2 linked regions of the Rattus norvegicus genome follow. The protein of the gene in region 1 interacts with the protein of each later gene in a biochemical or structural test. Links are inferred from orthologs where the notes say so. Each region holds a gene or a part of one and is shown on either strand. Other genes may lie near its edges.

The links.
Region 2: the proteins of Pafah1b1 (region 1) and Ndel1 form a complex in vitro, tested with the Homo sapiens proteins (3 studies listed by BioGRID). The link is inferred for Rattus norvegicus from reciprocal best matches to the Homo sapiens genes PAFAH1B1 and NDEL1.

Annotation. Positions count from the first base shown.
Region 1 is NC_086028.1:60,087,287-60,091,782, reverse strand, and holds the start of Pafah1b1 (platelet-activating factor acetylhydrolase IB subunit alpha), read left to right. Parts: upstream 1-1,586; 5' UTR 1,587-1,906; intron 1,907-1,913; exon of another isoform or gene 1,914-2,711; intron 2,712-4,496. UniProt on the Homo sapiens protein: Regulatory subunit (beta subunit) of the cytosolic type I platelet-activating factor (PAF) acetylhydrolase (PAF-AH (I)), an enzyme that catalyzes the hydrolyze of the acetyl group at the sn-2 position of PAF and its analogs and participates in PAF inactivation.
Region 2 is NC_086028.1:54,044,765-54,048,573, reverse strand, and holds part of Ndel1 (nuclear distribution protein nudE-like 1), read left to right. Parts: intron 1-744; coding exon 745-881; intron 882-3,809. UniProt on the Homo sapiens protein: Required for organization of the cellular microtubule array and microtubule anchoring at the centrosome. May regulate microtubule organization at least in part by targeting the microtubule severing protein KATNA1 to the centrosome.

The sequences.
Region 1 (4,496 bases):
AAAAATAACACATTTAAAAACATTTGAGTTTCCCAGGTAGTCCTCGAACTTGGGATCCTCGTTCCTCAAGCCATTCCATGCTGGAATAACAGATGTGTGCTTCTACCCAAGGTTTTCTTGCTATCATTTACTTTTTGAGGCAGGGTTTCTCTATGTAGCTGTCTGTCCTGGAATTCACAGGGTCGAGAAGGCTCTTGAACTTGGGAGAGATCCACCTGTCTCTGCCTCCACAGTGCTGATGTTAAAAAACACCGTGTCCAGCTGTGAATCATTGTTTTAAGATAGGGTTTTACTATGTGCATCATGCTGGCTTTGAACTTGTGGTAAGCCTCCTGCTTCTGTCTCAATGTTAGGATTACAGATGTGAGGACACTTGTTTATTACTATCGTCATTTTTTTTTTTTTTAAAAGAAGGATGCTTCTGAGGCTTGCAGAGAACTTCTGGGCTCCTGCTATTCTCCTGCCTCCCAAGTAGCTTGGCCTATGTGCCACTTTGTTTGGCTACTAGGTTTATTTTATTCTGATACTGAGGCCAAAAAAAGAGATATGGTAACTTAGTCAAGGTCATATTCCCAGCAAGTGGTGACACCAGGATTCATACTGGAGACATTAACTCTGCAGCTTCCCAAGTGCATTGTACAATATTTACCTTCATAGAGGGAAATAATAAAATTGGTTAACCCTGAGTGCTGGGAAATGCAAGTGGATAATGAAGTAATCTCATTCAATACTTAAATATCCTATATTGAATTATTCAGAGCCCCAAACCTACACTTTCAAAAATCAAGTATCTCCTTGTGGAATAAATTGACCACAAATCCCTCAGACTTGTCATCAATATTTCAATTCACAATATAATAAAATACAGACATGTCTTGTAGGGAATAAAGTTCTGGGTCTTTCTGTGGACGTCAGTTTCCAGAATCTCTGATGTATACGTGTGACTAAGGAAAAGAATAGCTGAATCACATCTACGGGCGATTCCTTCCAATTAAAAATCTGTAACAGAAAGGAACACAAGGCAGTCCATCTGCCTCTTAACCTCAACAGCTCTTCGGCCCAAGCCCACCAATTTACTTTGGTCCTTTTGAGTGGGTGATGGGGAATAATTCCACAGGCTAAGGCAGAGAGGAAGCATCCTGATTTAGCTCCTGCTGCAGCAAGCCGGGGGGCCGAGATGCCAGTGCACCGGGAACCGCGGTTTGCCCCGACAGCGCAGTGACGGCTAAAGCAAAGCTAGAGTCGTGATAGGCCCCAACAGTCAGACGAGAGTCTAGAGCAAAAGAGGCTCTTCCCAAGGGAACAGGGGACAGAAGAGAGAAAAAAGCCGCGGACTGGGCGCAAGCTTGCCCACTGGCTCCGGTACAACCTCTAGATCAACCCGTAGAAGGGCGTGCGGCCCAGGGCCAGGCCCAGGCTCAGGCCCGGCCCGGCTCGGCTCGGCTCGGCTCGGCCCGCGCATGCGCCGCGGGCCCTCCGCGCCCCCCCTTTTCCTGGCGGGTCTGGGGCGGCGGCGGCGCGGTGACGTCAGGGCGTTGGGGCAGCTCCTGTGACAGACGGAGCTGGAGCGGCGGGGCGGCGGCGGAGTCCGGCGGCCGAGATAGCGAGTGAGGGAGCGAACGAGCAGCGACCCGAGAGTCCAGGGAGCGAGGAGGAGCCGGAGGGGAGCGCTCAGGCGCGAGCGAGAGGACGCGCGAACGCTGGGCTAGGGCTCGAGCCCCGGAACGGCTGAGGAGCCCGCCCGCGGCCCTCCCCTCCCCCTCCCCGGGACCGGGCCCAGCGCGCCATCCTCCCCCTCCCTCCCTCCCTCCCTCCTTCCTCCCTTCCCTCTCCCTCCCCCTCCCCCGCTGGTGGATGGGAGTGAAGGACGGAAGAGGCCCTGCGGAGGCGGTGGTGCAGCGCTCCGGTAAGGCGGCGACGCTCTACGCCCTCCCCTCTGTCTTTTCCATCGCGCTCGGGCGGCTGCGGGCCGGGCCGGCGGCCTGACGATGTGGCTGCGCCGGTCCCCTCCCTCCCATTCTCCCCTCCCCCTGCCGCCGCTGCCTCCTCCTTCTTCTTCTCCTCTCCTCGCTCTCAAAATGGCGGCCGCGACGGCCGTTGAGTGAGAGGCACCGAGGAGGGGGCCCTGGCCTGGGAGGGCGCTGCCCTTGCTCCAGTCCTCCGACCCTGGCAGCAGGCTACTTGGGCCGCTGAGGCTTCAAACCGTGGCCTCTCGGCGGCATCGCCCTCCTGCCGCCGTGACTTAGCAAGAAAAGTATTCTTGGGTGGGAAGGGCGTGGATAGCAGGTCGCTCTCTGATCTTGGGGAAAGGGCTCAGCCCTCCTGGGCCGCGGAAACGAACCCGCAGTCCCCACCCCTCCGCGGCTGGCGGCTCGCCGCCGGGGCTCCAGCAGCTACCAGGCCTTCCAGGCGTCCGGTTCTCCACTTGTCCTTAGGTTGGTGGTCGAACTGAAGAGGATGGTCGGCCGCGCAGGCCCTTGGCCCCCCGGTGCGGTAGGAGTCCAGGCTCTGCACTCACTAAAGATCTGCAGCATCCACCCACCGAATCGGGCAGGATTTTCCTTTTTGCTACTGACTCCTCGCACGGGAGTTGCCTTTTGACGTTGCTAACACTGAGCTAGTTCCTAGGTTCTCTGCCATTCCCTTCATCCCATCTCTCTACTCTATTAGGAAACGCCGTGACTATTTATTTACTGTCTCTAGCTTCCCAGGTGAGAAAAAATGTTTTTGAGACGATGGGCTTATTTTGATTCCTAAGAGGAGAAATTTTCACTATCTGAGATAGGAGAAAGCAAGGTGCTTTATTTGTTTTTCTGCCTGTTTTTTCCAGTGACTTAGCAAGAAACTCTTTGGGAGGAGTGCAGGAAATTTTCTGTTGAGGTTGGGTTTGGGTGTAATTCCTATCTTTTTTTTTTTTTTTTTGGTTAAGGAATTGTGCTTTTGAAGAAGAGTATCAGATTTGTGGTCTCATTCTCAATGGGCGATGTCATGTCAAGGACCGCCTCCCCACCCCCAAAAAAAAGGCAATTGGGAAAAAAATAAAATTATTACTGCTTTTCTTACCTTTAGTTTCTAACACACCCTCCTAAAGATTCATAACCTTTAAAAGATCCAGCAACAGAAAGGTCATTTTAGCAATTCTCTTTTTGTTGGGTTGGCTTGTTTTGTGTGAATTTTTTTCCGGGGGTGGGATGGTGGAGAGACTTTGTTTGGGCCTCATACCAGTAAGTGTCTTCCCCTCTTCATTTTGCCACAGCAGTGTTTGCTGTGTTTTCCCCTGCAGTAGAGCTAGATTGCTGCAGGATTCAATTCCTTAATCAGGAATATTTTTAGTTGGGTATGCTAGTAATACTATGTTGAATTCACATTAAAGCTTTAACTTTAAAAATTGGTTTGATTTTAAGGCTTTAGCAAGCTTTTATTTCTAATATGTGTCTTTCAGGACATAGTTGTGCAAAATAATTGGCAGTTACAAATTGCGGTTTTTTATTAACGCAGAATATGTATTTAGGGTAATTTATTCTTTCACGGTCTATTTAAAAGATCATTGTTTGATTTCAGAGGAAGGCTTTTCTATAATTTAAAGCTGGTATATATAATTTTAAGAGTCAGAAAGGAAACCAGTTTTTCACAAAATATTTTTGCATATGTTGGTGTTGACAGAGCACATACCCTGTTTTGGTACATTCTCCCACCCCCATAAAAACAGGCTAATATTTGTGGATGCCGTGAGCAGCCATTGAGCCGAGAGGACTGGGTGGAGTAAGGGTGCGACAGCGAAAGCTGGGAAATGCTCAGTTGCCCTTTCATCGAATCTTCTTCATCCTTAATGACTGTAAGGTTATTCGGTATTAATTGTAGCTACAATAAAGGCATTTCTCTATGGTGGATCTTAAAATCTCAGCCTTTCTACCCTTTTTTTTTTTTAAAGAAGAGCATTGATTAATTGGAATAAAGGCAGCATCCTTGCTCTGAAACAAGTACTTACTCTCCACATGTGTGTATGTATAAAAATATCCACATATATACTAATTATTCTACCCAAATGAGTGTTAAGTTAATGAATGCTAGGGATATTTGGCAACAAAAAGCATGGTATTGTGAAAAAAATCTAGTTAAGAATACTCATATTTACTAAAATCTTTTTTTAAAATTTCTTGATGAACATCAAAGATGAGAAAATAGAGAGTGGTTATTTTGTGTTAAGAGCTCTTTAAATAGGCCTTTTCTCTTGTGTTGCCTCTTGCACAGGACCTTTTTCTGTGATAAAAGAGCATAGCTCATGTTAGTGTCTTGTGGTCCTTAAAGAATTCTAAGTATGATATAATGTAATTCTGATGAATTATGTGTTGTAACTTTGTATTTTTACATTTTTTGTTATTTTCATGTAGTTAGAAAGTATTGTGATGGATGAGTACATTACTATATTGTGTCTCAAATATCCTTAGCCCTACTATTCCCAGTTAATAATGGTGCACCTCCACCCCAATCCCAGG
Region 2 (3,809 bases), about 6.0 Mb from region 1:
TTTTTCTTTTTCTTTTTTTTCTTTTTTCTTTTCTTTTTTTCGGAGCTGGGGACGGAACCCAGGGCCTTGCGCTTCCTAGGTAAGCGCTCTACCAACCACTGAGCTAAATCCCCAGCCCTGAGAAAGCCTTTTTACAAGTTGGGGCCCAGTCTGCAAAGAAGAAAAGTTAACTAGGCAGAGAGACAGTGAAGAGGCTTCAGAGCAGGAAGGTTTTTTTTTTTTTTCTTTTTTTTCAGAGCCGGGAACTGAACCCAGGGCCTTGTGCTCGATAGGCAAGCGCTGTACCGCTGAGCTAAATCCCCAACCCCAGGAAGTATTTTATTAAGAGACTGTTTTAGGGCTTGAGAAACCTCATCAAGAAGTGCTGACTGCTTTTCCAGAGGTTTGAATTCAATTCCCAGCAACTACAGAGTGGCTCACAAACATCTGTAATGGGATCCTGTGCCCTCTTCTGGTGTGTATAAAGATAGCTACAGTGTCCCCATAGGAAAAAAAAAAGGTTGGAATTGGTATTCTGAGTTGTAACTTTAGGTTGGAGAATTTTATTTCTGTAGCAGATAACCAGGGAATGGGAGGCTACAAGAGTAAGTATGTGTTAATTTTTGCTGAATGGAGTGAGATCATTCTCCAAATTGGGTCAGGTTGACTTGGTTAAGAATGGCAGGAGATAAACTGATTTTCTTTTGTACTAGCTGTTTGTACATGCTGTTTAATTCATGGGCTTCAAATAATTTTGTTTTAAAGGGCAACAATAGTTTCACTGGAAGACTTTGAACAAAGGCTAAATCAGGCCATTGAACGAAATGCATTTTTAGAAAGTGAACTTGATGAAAAGGAATCTTTGTTGGTCTCAGTACAGAGGTTAAAGGATGAAGCAAGAGGTAAGTAAGCTTTATAACTTGGCAAGTATTTATCCATTGCCTGGTCCCTGAGTAAGTCAAGGACTAAGCCTTTTGATGGTGCTAGGATCACAGGGTCTTGAGCATGCTGGGTAAGCACTCTGCTTCCAAGCTGTTTCCAGCCTTCAGTTTCTCTGAAGTTCTAGTTTTATATGCCTTTAAATTTCTTTCAGTCACTGTGCCAAAGTGCGTTTAACCTGGCAATTTATTTCATACCCATATCATCAGCACTAAGAAGTAGCTGTGACCTCCATATTATAGATGAGAAAAAGGAGGCACAGAGTTTGAGCTTTTTCAGTGTCATACTGCACTCAGTTGGGATTTTTTTATTTATTGATTGTATTTAAATAACTTCATTTTATATACATATCATTTTATATATACATATATCAATCTGTTTACATATTATACGTGTAACTAGTACACACTTTGTTTAAAACTTCTTTCTCCTCAGAAACACAGTACAATTGAGAATATTATTTTATTTTATTTTTTTCCGGAGCTGGGGACCGAACCCAGGGCCTTGCGCTTGCTAGGCAAGTGCTCTACCACTGAGCTAAATCCCCAACCCCAATTGAGAATATTATAAAGAAGGAAAGCCCACTAGTAATTTGATATATTTAGTTCATTTTTTATGGTTGTATATGTCTGTATATTTTCCCTTATATAATTTCTGACTTCTTACATAATTTCCTCCTTCTTTCCAGATGAAAATAGACACATATATTTCTCTTTTTTTTTTTTCTGCTTAATATGGGGAATATACATGGCATCACAATTTTTTTTTATAAATTTATTTTGTATACAGCATTCTGCCTGTTTGTGTGCCTGCAGGCCAGAAGAGGGCACCAGACCTCATCATAGATGGTTGTGAGCCACCATGTGGTTGCTGGGAATTGAACTCAGAACCTCTGGAAGAGCAGTCAGTGCTCTTAACCTCTGAGTCACCTCTGTAACCTTGGCATCACAAATTTTTTAGAGCAGGTTTGGGTCTGGAGAGGTGATGGCTCAGCAGCAGGGAGCATTTACTGTCCCTTCTCTTGTTTCCGCTATAATACTCTGAGTCTCATTGTGCTGAGAAGAGAGGGAAGTTCTACAGAAGGTGTGTTCAACTATGTCATCTCTCTCTATAGATTTTCAGTGCCTTTTATTTTCTTTTTCATGAGGGCGCTGTAATCATCTGAACAGTTCTTTTTATTTATTTATTTTTTCTTTTTTTCTTTTTTTCTTTTTTTCGGAGCTGGGGACCGAACCCAGGGCCTTCCACTTGCTAGGCAAGCGCTCTACCACTGAGCTAAATCCCCAACCCCTGAACAGTTCTTTTTAAGTTATAGGTTTTAAAAGGTTTGTTTTATGTGTAAAGAGTGTTTTGGCTGCATGCTTGTGTACTGTTTGAATGCTTGGTGCTCTCAGGAGCTAGAAGAGGGCATCAGATCCCTGCAACTGGAGTTAGAGATAATTGTGAGCTAGCACATGGGTGCTGGGAACCAAACCCCTAGTCCTTTGGAAGAGCAGTGAGTGCTTTTTATGTGCTGAGCTACCTCTCTAGCCCCTGAAGAATTGTTTTAATTTTTGTAATATATAAGTTATTATCTTGGTATTGTTTATTTATAGGTCTTGTTTCACAGTAGTAGGAGTGAACACAGGGCCTTGTATATGACAGGCAAGCACCACACCTCTGGGCTCCATCCCCAGTCTTGTTTTTTGTTCGTCTCATCATTTGTTTTGAGGTGGTGGGACTTAGTGCCTGCTAGGCAAGTGCTCTATCCCTGAGTTTTTCCCCCAGCATCTTACTTATTTTAATTGCAGTAAAAACAAAACAAAACAAAACAACAACAACAACAGCAAAAGAACCCCAAAACAAAACAAAACATTACAAATTTAATCTCTTGTCTATCCTGTTTTTTGAGACTAGGTCTCAACTGTATAGCCCTGGCTGGCCTAGATCTCACTATGTAGATCATACTGGCCTCCAAATCAGAGATCTCCCTGCCTCTAACCTCTCAAGTGCTGGAATTAAAAATTAAAACTGTGCCACCATACCGAGATGGTTTTAAAATATTTATTATTGTTTATGTGACTGGTTGATTTAACTTTAGTGTCTTCAAGGTTTGTTTATGTTGTTGTGACTGGATTTTTTTTTTGTTTACAAAATTTTTTAAATGTGTGTGTGTGTGTGTGTGTGTGTGTGTGTGTGAGTGATGTCTGTGCCTGCCTGCATGAGTGTGGAGTTCAAAGTACAGCTTTTGAGAATTTGTTCATTCCCCCTTCTTACAGAAAATGGATTAAGAACTCCACTCCATCATTTCTTCTCCTCTGTGAATGGGCATTGGGCGGCTTGCGTCTTTAGTTCCTGTGAACAAGGCTGTTGTGGATATAGGTTGCATGTGTCAGTCTGTAATCCTGTTTTGACGTTTTTGATCTCAAAAGTAGAGTAACTTCGTATCCTTTGTTTTGTTTTTCCTTTTTCTTTTTTTCTTTTTTGTTTTTTCAAGACAGTTTTTCTGTGTAGCCCTGGCTGTCTTGGAACTTCTTCTGTAGCTCAGGCTGGCCCCAAACTCACAGAGGTCCGTTTGCATCTGTCTCCCAAGTGCTGGTCTTAATTAAAGACATGAACCACCGCTGCCTGGCCTGTTTTTCTTTTCCTGAAATAGAATCTTTTTGCATAGCCCTGGTTGTCCTGGGACTCTCTATGTAGACAAGGCTGGCTTTAAATTTCTCAGAGATCTGCTTCTTTTTATCCTTTTTCTTTTAACATAAGATATTTTTCAGGGTCATTATATAATTTAAAACATTAAAAATTCAGTATTGAAAAAGGATTTCATAGTGGTAGTTTAAAAAAAATCTGAGGTGTAGTAGTGCATGCCTTTAATCCAGGTACTCTGAAAGCAAAGACAATTGGATCTTTGT